Linked DNA regions of Oryzias latipes. The protein of the gene in region 3 binds, or shares a complex with, the protein of the main gene of each other region. Links are inferred from orthologs where the notes say so. Each region holds a gene or a part of one and is shown on either strand. Other genes may lie near its edges.

Region 1 (3,621 bases), on a different chromosome or scaffold from region 3:
AGCGAGCTGCAACACAGAAGGGCCGTTTGAGAAACCTGATTACAAACGTCGGACTGCAGCGTGACCTTCCGCCTCCGTCTGCACTGACGGTGCAGAAAAGCCGCCCGTCCTCCTCAGATTCTAGTGTCGGAGCAGAACAGCAGAGAAAGGCTCACACACTCTCTTGACCTGACCGACACTGAACGCTTGTCCTCAAAAGAGCTATTGTTGTTGGTAGAAAGGGGCATCATTGTTCCGATTTCAGGCCCTGCATGACTTCAGGGAAACGGCGACAGCGCATCACTTCCCCCTCTGCGTCCTGTGTCTGGTCACAGGAACCCACACAGCGTCCAAAACCACGTTTCGTGCTGCATTTTTGTCACCGTGGAGTCACGCAAACACGTCATCTGGACTGCTGAATTAAAGAGTCACACGGGATCAGGACTTCTGAGCATGTGCAGTGAGGGCAGGGCAGCTGCCAGTCCGCCTGCTGCCCAACGAGGGGGGTGTCGGGGCCAGTCAGAGCGGCCGGAGCGAATCCGCGGAGACAGAAAACGAGCACCTGGCCGTCTGCGACAAAGTCAGAGAGGAGAAAAAAGGCCTTCAGAGGCGGTGATGCCCCTTCATCTCCAGCTGTCAGCCCCGATGGTCTGACATCTGCTGCTTTCGCCTCTACCTGAAATTTAACGGCTGCAGAAAACGAGCGTCAAAAAGAACGCCAGACGCCCGTCGCTGTGACAGAATCCAGGAAACGTCAGGAGCAGATTTCTGGTTCGAAGCTCACCCTGTATCTCTGCTTCCGGCAGAAGCTGATGCAGTTCTGAATGGTGAGCTTGTTGGAGATCTCGTTGGCGCCGGAGAGCGTGGGTGGGTTACCGCTGTCTTTGAAGCAGCCCAGGTTGCCCGGCACTGGAGACACCAGAGGAGATGACAAAAAAAGAAAAGACAAAAGTTAGTTATGAAGTTTTAGGATGAATTATCCCGAACAGAGGCGCTTTATCCGGACGTTGGACTAATGTTCTCATCAAAAGCTGCAAGGACAGAGGCACTGCAGGTGGACACGAAACCCCACTTTTCCATATCACTCCTTTTTCCATGAACATGAAAGATTTGCCCAACAATCCCAGCTATAGGCTGTAGACCCAAATGCCCTAACCGGTGGATAACGGCTGTCTGTGGGGCAAAAATGGTTAAACCTGTAAATATCAAGGTGGTAGTCCGCTGCGTGAACCCGTAGGGAGAAAAGGGAGTAGGTGAGACGCAGGCGTACAGCTTTCTGCAGATCCCATTAGTGCTGTGGCCGTGACAAATGCGTGTTCTTTGCGTGCAGACGACCGTTATGCTACGCACACTACGCTGCCCTCGGCAACGCAAGCGACCACTTCCAAAGCAAAAGTCTACATAAACGCCTGCGTTCAAAACTCTCACGTTTCTCACCACCACAAAGGTCTATAACCCTTGTGGTATTCTATGGGGTCAAGATGACCCGCCCTTACATTGAGGTGTTCTCCCTACCATGACAAAGGTGGATAAAGGTAGAAAGATTTCATGTAATCCATGGACACCAGTGAAGATCACAAATCATTGAAGAAAAAAGGTTCAGAGCACTGTCTAGTGGGTCTAGATGACCCCTCTCCCAATGTTAAAGTGCTTAAGATAGCACAAGTGGTCATAAATCCCAAACTAAACTCTGTTTTTAGCCTCCATCTGCCAAAAGGGAAACGTCCAATTAGAAATGACTGTCTGTGAACGCACCGTCCTCCAGGGCTGAAGAAACCACATTGGGTTTGTTCATTAGAAAGCACAGAGGTGGGTTCAAACACCTGGATTTGAACCAGCAACCTCACTCACACAGTAAGGCAGGCGGGTGCCACTTCCAAGAGGTGTCATGAAAAGCACAGAGAAATGCATTGTGGGAGTCTGCATACAGATTAGAGGCAGGAAAGCTCTTCCTCCACTTTGCTCTGAAAAGAGGATTGCAGGCTGCAGCCTGATCTCTTCCTCCCGCCGTCGTCTGACAGGCCAGCAGGTGGGTTTGCATCCCTTCATGGCAGCAGAGAGAAGGTGGAGAGCCATCTACATTCCTGCATGCACAGCCCCCCACCACCACCACCAATAAAGCATTTAGAATTGCATGAAAAGTCAGAACAAAGCGTCTGGAAACACATCTGTGTCGCAGGCGCAACAAGTACAGTAGAGGAGAAAACACAAACACATTCGGACGACTTCAAAGCTGTTGATGGAATCTGGTTTTACAAGCCAGAGGGGGGAAATGAAGAAAAACACGCGGTGCATGAATGCAGCACTTAGCTGGGAGCAGACCCCTCTGCAGATGAGTCAATAACGGCTTTATGCTGTGCAGCTCCACACTCACAACAGCACAAGTAGTTTAAAAGTAGTTTTAAAAATGTGGTTTAAAAAAAACATAAAAATGAAGGTTATTGGACCAATTTCTGAGAAAAGAGATGTTATTCAATCAATTTTTATCTTTTTAAAAACTTCTAAATAAACATTTACTGTTAGGGAAGCGCAAAACTAAATATTTTAACCTAAGTGATACTAAATACTCATAAAAACGTATAAATAAAATACTTACAGATAAATAACTACTTTGTTGTTTGAAACAAAAGCAATCCACAATTTCAATCATAAAAAAAAGAAAAACGACTTATTTTCATCTTCTATTCGCAGATTTTAATGGAATAATGAATGTTGCACTTCTTGATATAACCACTAGAGGCTGGTTCCAAAGGGCAGCACTTTGTCACCAACTTCTGTGTAAAAAAGTCAGATTTGAAATGTTATTACAGCCAAGGGACTTCTTGATCAATGTAATATTAAAAAAAAAAGTAAATTAAAAACAGCCATTTAGATTTTGTATTTTTTTCTGTTTTTTGTTGGATCTCTTTTCACCTTTTTGTGTCTCACATTAATTTATCACGACCAATCCAAATGTCAGGAAGTCTGTGAGGATGGGACCTACTTTGTCATTTAAAAAACATCTCCATCAATGTTAAGAAACCACGCCCATAAAATAAGTCCTCAGACTAAACCCCGCCCACTTCCCAAAACATTTTCGACTCTGAATGTGAAGAAAGACGACACATTTCCAGTATTTTTTTTACTAAACTAAAGCAGAAGAGAAAAATAGTGAAATTAAGATGATTTTTCTTATTTTACATTTTATTCAAGATAAAATTTGATATTTGTAATAAATAAATCACAGCTTCCTTTGAATTCTTTGTAACAGGAATTTTTGCTGCCTTTGGACATTTTTACTTCTGTAATCTGTATCTTGTTTCTCCTGAAAAATAAGTTTTTAGATCTTAATCAGATTTATTTTGGTCAAATAAAAATAACTTTTTTCTTCACCACATGATGTACGCAAGTTTTAGCAAATCCTGTTTCTGTTTCGTGAGGCTTCACAGATTCATTCAGATGAACCCAAAACAAACTCTTGCTCTAAAAAATGCCCCAAAGCACCGACGTCCAGCAGACTTTTCTCAGAACCGGCGGTCTGGGTCACCTCCGTCCAGCTGACGGTCAGTGTGGGCTGGAAGAACGCCGGTCAGCGGGGTCGTTCGCTCAGCCAGCGGCGCGTGAGCTCCAGGCTGAAGAATGCCGGGCGTGGGGATCTGAAAG
Region 2 (4,269 bases), on a different chromosome or scaffold from region 3:
GACTGGCGCCCGACTGGTTGAAGAACGTGCGTTTGATGGCCTCTTCGCTGACGTCGCTCCAGTAGATGAGGCCCTGAGAGTAGACGTAATCCACGGCGGCGGCGTCCTCCAGCCCGCCCACCACCACGGTGTCGTTGGCCTTCTCGTGGGCGGTGTCCACCAGGCGGAGGTCCCGCCGGTTCGCGTACAGAAGCAGCGGCTCGCCTGCAACTACAAACAAGAAGAACCGCTCAGGAACGGCCACGGAACCGACTGCACAGAAACGGACCAGCAGAACCCCACGGATGTCAGGGGTCCGGCCCAAGACGGAGGCAGGTTACCGCGGTAACAAATTCAGGTACACAATGATGCTGTTCCCCTTCTATTTAACCCCCCCCCCCAACACGGGTCTGTTCTGGATTCAATGACTCAGATCAGACCTGCAAACATTTCTGGTCTTTTGGACGCAGGTCCACCTGTCATCATCTGGATCAGCGGTTCTGTAAAAACTACTTTCCTCCAAAACCCGTTTGGAACTGCTGTCGAATTTTTCAGTTTTCCTGGTTCTGTTCTGAGTTCTGTTCTCACTGGGAAACCCTTCCTGGGGGGTTATGCAGACGGCTGCTTCGGCCCAAACCCGCAATATGACCACTCAGCTGCTACAGGATCCTGACGCTCTGGGTCAGAAACCAGGATCCTGCACCTTTGGGTCAGAAACCAGGATCCTGCAACTCTGGGTCAGAAACCAGGATCCTGCAACTTTGGGTCAGAAACCAGGATCCTGCAACTCTGGGTCAGAAACCAGGATCCTGCACCTTTGGGTCAGAAACCAGGATCCTGCACCTTTGGGTCAGAAACCAGGATCCTGCAGTTCTGGGTCAGAAACCAGGATCCTGCAACTCTGGGTCAGAAACCAGGATCCTGCACCTTTGGGTCAGAAACCAGGATCCTGCACCTTTGGGTCAGAAACCAGGATCCTGCAGTTCTGGGTCAGAAACCAGGATCCTGCAACTCTGGGTCAGAAACCATGATCCTGCACCCTTGGGTCAGAAACCAGGATCCTGCAACTCTGGGTCAGAAACCAGGATCCTGCACCTTTGGGTCAGAAACCAGGATCCTGCAGTTCTGGGTCAGAAACCAGGATCCTGCAACTCTGGGTCAGAAACCAGGATCCTGCAACTCTGGGTCAGAAACCAGGATCCTGCAACTCTGGGTCAGAAACCAGGATCCTGCAACTCTGGGTCAGAAACCAGGATCCTGCACCTTTGGGTCAGAAACCAGGATCCTGCAGTTCTGGGTCAGAAACCAGGATCCTGCAACTCTGGGTCAGAAACCAGGATCCTGCAACTCTGGGTCAGAAACCAGGATCCTGCACCTTTGGGTCAGAAACCAGGATCCTGCACCTTTGGGTCAGAAACCAGGATCCTGCACCTTTGGGTCAGAAACCAGGATCCTGCAGTTCTGGGTCAGAAACCAGGATCCTGCACCTTTGGGTCAGAAACCAGGATCCTGCAACTCTGGGTCAGAAACCAGGATCCTGCACCCTTGGGTCAGAAACCAGGATCCTGCACCTTTGGGTCAGAAACCAGGATCCTGCAACTCTGGGTCAGAAACCAGGATCCTGCACCTTTGGGTCAGAAACCAGGATCCTGCAACTCTGGGTCAGAAAACAGGATCCTGCAGTTCTGGGTCAGAAACCAGGATCCTGCAGTTCTGGGTCAGAAACCAGGATCCTGCAGTTCTGGGTCAGAAACCAGGATCCTGCTGTTCTGGGTCAGAAACCAGGATCCTGCAGTTCTGGGTCAGAAACCCAACCCTATCCGGGCTGGGAACACCTGATAGGTGTGGGAGCGGAATACCAGCCTGATATGAAAAGTCCATTGAGCCAGAACCTGAAGAGTTCGGATCAAACCCGGATCCACTGAGATCCAGACAAAGGTGCGATCCGGATGAAACCGGAACACCGACCTTCCTGTCGGTACAGTTTAATGATTTTGGCCAGTTTTGTGGGTTCTCCCGGGTTCTGCAGGAGGTCATCAGAACCTTTGGGATTCCACTGAAGAACACGGCGCTTCTTGTTTTTGCTGCTGTGGGTCTTTCACGCAGGTGTGACCGCAGCACAACCCCACCGCGATCACACGTGAAAAGTAGTCCCCGTTACGTTAGCCGCGGCTAACCTGCTGCTCCGTAGCATTGTTGCTCTTTACGTTACACGGTAAAACCGTGGAAACGAGGAAGCTGCCGGTAAAGTCCACGGCCACGCCGGGTAACGGCGGCCCACGCGCGGCTCTAGCTGCGGTTCTGTTCCCGCACGTCGGCTGTTCTGCGGTTCCTTCGTCCGACACAAACGGGCTGCTAGCGGGAAGCTAGCTTTAGCTCCGCGGGCCGAACTCTGGAAAAGCGTTTTCGCTGTAGGACACGCACACCTCCACCCGCACAAACAGCTCGTATTTCGGTGAAAACGGCGGTAGTGGTCCGGGAGGGCTCAACTTACCTCGTACGACAAAAGAAAAGCTAAACAACAACAACAGACTCCGCAGCGCGACACCCATATTTCTGCCGTTCTTCGGCCGAGCCGCCGCGTCTCCTCAGCGCTCGTCTCCCATCTCCGCGGCCGCTCCTCGGGAACAAAAAGGAGGAAAAAGCCTTTTCCTCAACGGGGTTTTGGTGGGGGAGCAGCGGCGAAAAAGCTCACGGCGCCTCCGCGTCCATCCCGGCTGCTGCGTCTACTCCGCTTGGCTCCTTCACATTGTCCTGCAGGAGATCCGACGTCTCCTTCCGCCGCGAGGAAGCTGCTCCCTGCGCCTGCGCCTCCCTCCTCTGCTTTCTATTGTTGTTCGCGTTCCCCGCGCTCACGTGCGCCGCGCGCCCGCAGCAACCACAAACCAGCTGGGGGCAGCCCGCAAATGGGGAAGCATGCGGGGAAGAACAGCAGCGGGACTACTTTGTCACTGCATGGAGGGTAGCGCCCCCCCCTCGTGTTTTTTTCTTAGTTTACTTCACCTGTAATTACAGATTTTCTCATCATCACCTGATTTTCGGCATTTCGATCACATCAGTACTTCCGCCGGGACTTTCAGTGGTTTGCGCGCGCGCGCGCACACACTCATTAAAGATGAACCGTGTGTGTTTGTCTCTGTTTAGCCCACCCAGCATCAGACCTCCACCCCTCCTGAACTCCTCCGACTCCTTCAGAAATCAGGAGGAGTGCAGAAAAGTTACGCTGATCCAGAACCAGATCTTCTCCTGTACCTGGAAGCTTCGGGCGGCACGGTGGGGTAGTGGTTTGCACTCTAACTTGAAGGTTTTTCTGGTTCTTGCATGAGTAAATTCCTCCAGAAACAGGCTGCGTGGTGTGAATGTGTGGACCTGGGATGCAGCCCAGCTTCACCTGTCAGGAGCTGTGCGCGCTCCCGTGACCCCTTGAAGAGGGTTCTCATAATGGATGGAACCGCTCCAGGGTCAAAACCCGGTTTAATCCCCACAACAAAACGCAGAGCTTCCAAACGTATGCAAACGCTTTACTTCACAAAACAATATCAAAAAACACCATCCAGTAATCAGAGTACAGTGAAAGCACGTGACCGCTGCTGCCCCCTGCTGGAGGCCTCCGAAAGTCCTGCCTCTGTGCGTCACAGTGTGGCAGCAGAACCACGCAGGTCAGCTCCTTCCTGAGTTTCAGTCACAGTATTGCTGTAGCTTTGTTCTTCATCAGCCGACGAAGAACGAGGGGCCTTCCAGATCCCCCCCCCCCCCCCACACACACACACACACAGGTTCTCCTGGTCTCAGAGCTGCCAGTGGTGAAGACGGGGAGGCGGAGTCAAAGTGAGCGATGGTCCACAGAGGAGCGCGGCGGATGACCTTCAGCTCAGTGTGGAGACAGGAAGGTCACAGGATCAAAACTCCTCCTCAGTTCTGAGGAGTTTCTCAGCTAATGTCATCAAACCCTTTCAAAGCACAAACGACTCTTTAATAAAAGTTTGTTTTGTTTCATAAAAACATCTACGCTTTACTTTTAGTGTGAAATTATTAGAAATGTTCATCAAAAGTGAAACATGCTCCGTGGTCAAAATTCTCTAAGCGTAAAGACGGGAAATTGAAACTTCACGTCTGAAGTCGGCCGCCATGTGGATAGGTCAGAGGTCAGGAAGCAGCCCACCTGCTTTCCTCAGCAGCGTCCTGCGGCGAGTCCATCCCGCCGCTGCCGCTCCTTAAAACCTTCCTACCATTGAGTCCATCTTTACCTACAAGAGCCGACGTCGGTTCTTCAGATCCACCATGAAAGCA
Region 3 (3,699 bases):
AGTCACTTCCTCACCATCTTTTAATCTGAAGGTCTAATTACAGAGGCCACGGTGTGTTTGAGTGGATTCATAGCCTACATATTTAAAGCTCCTGCATTGATCAACGTGTCAGGAAATAGAGCTTGCTGTACAATGGAGGCTGAAGCTCCCTTTTTGTACCTTTAGTGGGTTGTGTCGCACACAAAAATATGCTGCTTTTAACCTTATTTCCCGAATCCCAGGGCAGATTAGGCAAGATGAAGTAATTAGAGGGTTTACCATGGATAGCTGGCTAACTGCTACACATAAACCTATAATTAACCCCAGGCAGCACCAAAGGTTCAGGTAGCAAACACCCATCAGGATAACTTTCTTTATTACAGTTATCATTTGGTACAACCATGTCCTGTCCTGCAGTTCAGCTGCACGATGGGAAGATTTTAAGTTAGAATAATGAGTTCTAGATTAGTTTTCTTAGCATAATTCATCCTGGTGTGTGTCTGAGTGTGTTTTCTGTCAATTTTGACTAATTTCAGTGTCTACAAAATAAAATATTGAAACTATTTTTGCGTTTTCTTTCTAAGGTGTTGACAAAATAACAATTGAACAGCATAAGGTTATCACAACGCATTTAATAAAACAAATATTCACATTTGTCATTATTTCTCTTATAAAACAATTTATATACTATACAGTTTATTTACAAAACATGCATCACCATGTCTCTATAATACTGGTGTTGACATAATTCAGTAGAGCAAATAAGTGCCACCTGCAGGATAATATTTACACTACAGTAATTTACTGTGATTGCTGTGGCCTCAAGTTCCATAAAAAGAGAAACAAAAACTACTCTGCCATTACTGACAACATGAATCCATCTCCACAAATACCTGTGAAATGCTACTTCCTAACTTCTGAATCTATATCTGCTGATGGAAAACTGGATGAGTTCGTCTCACACTGTTGCATCCCTCTGGGTGTATCACTTTTCTAGGATTCATGTCTCTCCATCTTGGTGATGCATTTGTGTCAGCAACTCTGGCAGGAAAGAATGTCTTAGGTGTTGTGTGTCTCTGCATGTGTGTGTCAGCATCTTCTCTGAGGAGTATTTGTCAGCATCTGTCACTGATTTATTGATGTGTGTCTGCGCGTGGGTGTGTGATTCTGTCTTCTGGCTGTGACTGCGTGCGGTGGTGTCAGCGACTCTGACAGGTGTGTAGGTTCCGGGCTGCAGTCCTGCTGACACCGTGATCACGCTCGGCTTTCTCCGGTCTGCAGGCCAAGCCCTCGCCGCAGTCACAGCGCTGGAACAGCTCCAAACCGTGGGTGCCTTTCCTGCGGTGGCGCGTGCACACCTGGCCCTCTGTCAGCACAGGCTTACAGATGCGAGACCAGAAGTGTCTGGCACAGCACAGACCCTCCGAGCAGTCTGCCGATCTCAGGCATGTGTCACCCTCTTGCCCTGTAGATTGATAAGGTTATTTATTACATGAAACAAATATTATTGAAACATATTGTTGGTTTTATTTACCATCATCTCACCTTTGACATTAATTGGTTGGTAGCCATTGGAATTAAGAGGCCTCTTGGCTTGATGTTCCAGGGTGTTGTTGTGTTTATGCCCGCCAGATGTGACGGATGACTCTGTGTCATGAATGTCTTGTGGTTGACAAAAACCTATAAAGAGCAAATATCAATAAACACAATAGTTTTTTTTTTTCATTGAAATAAAAATTCAATCACATGAGCAGTTTCTTTACACACCGTTGCTACAGCGATTCCCTGCACAACACATGGAGTCCCTTACGCAGCGCTTCCGGCTCCTGCGGCAGGGCAGACAGACACCACGGGCATCGTTGCAGAATTCCTCCCCTCCACAGTCTTCATCATCCGTGCAAACAGCTGACTGCTACAACATGATGAAGGAAACAAAGTAAATCACATATAAAGCAATCAAATAAATGTACCCAACTGTTATGAAGCAAAAAGTTGACTTTTACGCACCAGGGAGTTTATTACCTGCAGGGTGTCTGGGGGCAACTTTTGCCCCGCGACACCGGTGGGTGACGTGCGCGGACTTGGGCTGACAGAGTCGGTGCCTTTGCCCGCTGACGCGCCGGGCGGGTGTTTGATCAAGTTGGAGTTTTTCGGCACAACACCTGGATAAACGTCTCCAAAGTATCCAAACAGCGTGACGCACACAGCCAAGTAGCGGTGGACTAACAACACCTGCATGATTATTCTCTTGTTAAGTCCAGTCTCAGTTAGAATTTAACAAAAAAAAAAAAGAAAAGAAAAAAGTTAAGGAAATCCGTTTGAGATGCGTTAAAGGAATATGAGACAATGTCCAAACGGCTTGGATTCCTCAATCCCCAAAGTTTCCAAGGTGTGTTTGGATGATGCTTGGAAGTCTCCTGACTCACAGTCCTGGGATGATCTCTTTATACACGCGGACCTGTTTGTCTTCCCGCCCCTCGCTGTGCACAACAAAGGCGGAGGGGTGGAATTTCTGACAGAGCCCCACTGTACGGAAATGGCCATCCCTGCGCAGAACTGCGTCTCACATTGTTTGTGGAATGATAATGACCCGCAAAGTCTGTCTGAAAAGCCATGACTGACATGAAGCCTTGTTATTTAAGCCCAGCTCGATGTAGAAAAACGTTAATAGTCATGCTCAGTCTGTTTACATGTCTATAAAGTTTTATTTATTTAAGTCATATATCATTATTGACTTGTGAAACAGATGAGGGCTTATTTTTTGCGCATTTTCTTAAATTTGGTTAAGTTCTTAAATGCTTTTAACATAAAAAGTATTTAGAAACATTGTATTTATGCAGGATTTTTGGACAGAGCCCCTTTTTTGTGTGTGTGTGTGTGAGGGGGGGGGGGTCTTCCTGTCTTGCAGCAGCCCTCGTTTGTCATCTTTCAGTGTATTTGACATCCATCCATCCTCCTCCTCCAGCTTCTCGCTAAGGATGAGTGACTGAGGTTACTTGGGTCGATTAACTACTTCATTTGATCCCGCTGTTTGCAAAGGTGACAATTATCCCCCAACAGCGTTTGATTACACCGGTGGCGCAAAGGATACGAAAGACCATTAAGGGGTGTGAAAAGTTTACCGAATTAATGGCCTTCCGCGGGGAAGCCTTTTGAGGGCTGGCTGGCACTTTTGAGATTAAAGGAGAGACTCTGATCTGGGTTCGCTTTTGGCCCTCAGGGGCTCCAAATCTCCAAGAATTGCGCACAACAAGAAGGAAATCGGGGTCAAAAAATTATTGAATCCCCACTTTACATGGCCCTACTGGAAAGTAATTTCATTACTAGTAACTTCAATGGGTTTGCAAGCGATGGAGTGCTGACCTTCTGATCAGATCTTGGCACTTGGACGTCATCTGCTGGACATGTGGGAGTCAGGGTGCGCGTAAACAGCGAGATGCTCTGTGACCTGACAAACACGCCATCACTTTGCTCGTTTGAATTGCTGCATATCTTTTGAAGTAGGGCTTTTATCCCCACTTTACTAAATGTCAGTGTTGGCAAGGTGAACTCCTTTGATGCACCCTGATCCCCTTTGATCTCTCAGAAGTGTCGCCCTGTTGTTATGACTGAAGCCATTTCCCTGTCCCCCAAACAGATTTGTTGTGCGAATAACACAGAGGGCATGAGAAACCGAATCATCTCCACTTACCTCTAAGTGGATGACATCAACTCTACGAA

Evidence for each region.
Region 1: the proteins of dickkopf-related protein 1 (region 3) and kremen1 are in contact, whole or in part, in a crystal structure (PDB 5FWW), measured with the Homo sapiens proteins. The link is inferred for Oryzias latipes from reciprocal best matches to the Homo sapiens genes DKK1 and KREMEN1. Residues at the interface, in NP_036374.1 of Homo sapiens: Cys189, Leu190, Arg191, Ser192, Ser193, Cys201, Arg203, Trp206, Ser207, Lys208, Lys222, His223, Arg224, Arg225, Lys226, Gly227, His229, Gly230, Leu231, His261; in XP_011528731.1 of Homo sapiens: Pro67, Asn88, Asp90, Asp92, Ser94, Trp96, Gly105, Val106, Tyr107, Trp108, Tyr110, Asp127, His128, Gly129, Pro132, Thr140, Asn142, Glu164, Ser165, Tyr167, Ala168, Phe170, Asn189, Val191, Phe193, His196, Asp203, Gly204.
Region 2: the proteins of dickkopf-related protein 1 (region 3) and lrp6 are in contact, whole or in part, in a crystal structure (PDB 3S8V), measured with the Homo sapiens proteins. The link is inferred for Oryzias latipes from reciprocal best matches to the Homo sapiens genes DKK1 and LRP6. Residues at the interface, in NP_036374.1 of Homo sapiens: Glu185, His204, Phe205, Trp206, Ile209, Gln218, Val219, Thr221, Arg224, Arg225, Ser228, Gly230, Leu231, Glu232, Ile233, Phe234, Arg236, Ser258, Leu260; in NP_001401174.1 of Homo sapiens: Arg639, Glu663, Ser665, Ile681, Tyr706, Glu708, Thr724, Arg751, Trp767, Gly768, Gly769, Pro771, Val790, Gly791, Arg792, Asp811, Thr812, Asn813, Leu814, Pro833, His834, Phe836, Trp850, Ser851, Tyr875, Met877, Arg1184.

What each region holds. Positions count from the first base shown.
Region 1 is NC_019867.2:1,752,202-1,755,822, reverse strand, and holds part of kremen1 (kremen protein 1), read right to left. Parts: intron 889-3,621; coding exon 764-888; intron 7-763; coding exon 1-6. UniProt on the Homo sapiens protein: Receptor for Dickkopf proteins. Cooperates with DKK1/2 to inhibit Wnt/beta-catenin signaling by promoting the endocytosis of Wnt receptors LRP5 and LRP6.
Region 2 is NC_019881.2:23,657,859-23,662,127, forward strand, and holds the start of lrp6 (low-density lipoprotein receptor-related protein 6), read right to left. Parts: upstream 2,840-4,269; 5' UTR 2,532-2,839; coding exon 2,474-2,531; intron 211-2,473; coding exon 1-210. UniProt on the Homo sapiens protein: Component of the Wnt-Fzd-LRP5-LRP6 complex that triggers beta-catenin signaling through inducing aggregation of receptor-ligand complexes into ribosome-sized signalosomes.
Region 3 is NC_019873.2:20,249,647-20,253,345, reverse strand, and holds dickkopf-related protein 1, read right to left. Parts: upstream 2,415-3,699; 5' UTR 2,218-2,414; coding exon 1,987-2,217; intron 1,892-1,986; coding exon 1,747-1,891; intron 1,660-1,746; coding exon 1,525-1,659; intron 1,445-1,524; coding exon 1,179-1,444; 3' UTR 592-1,178; downstream 1-591. UniProt on the Homo sapiens protein: Antagonizes canonical Wnt signaling by inhibiting LRP5/6 interaction with Wnt and by forming a ternary complex with the transmembrane protein KREMEN that promotes internalization of LRP5/6.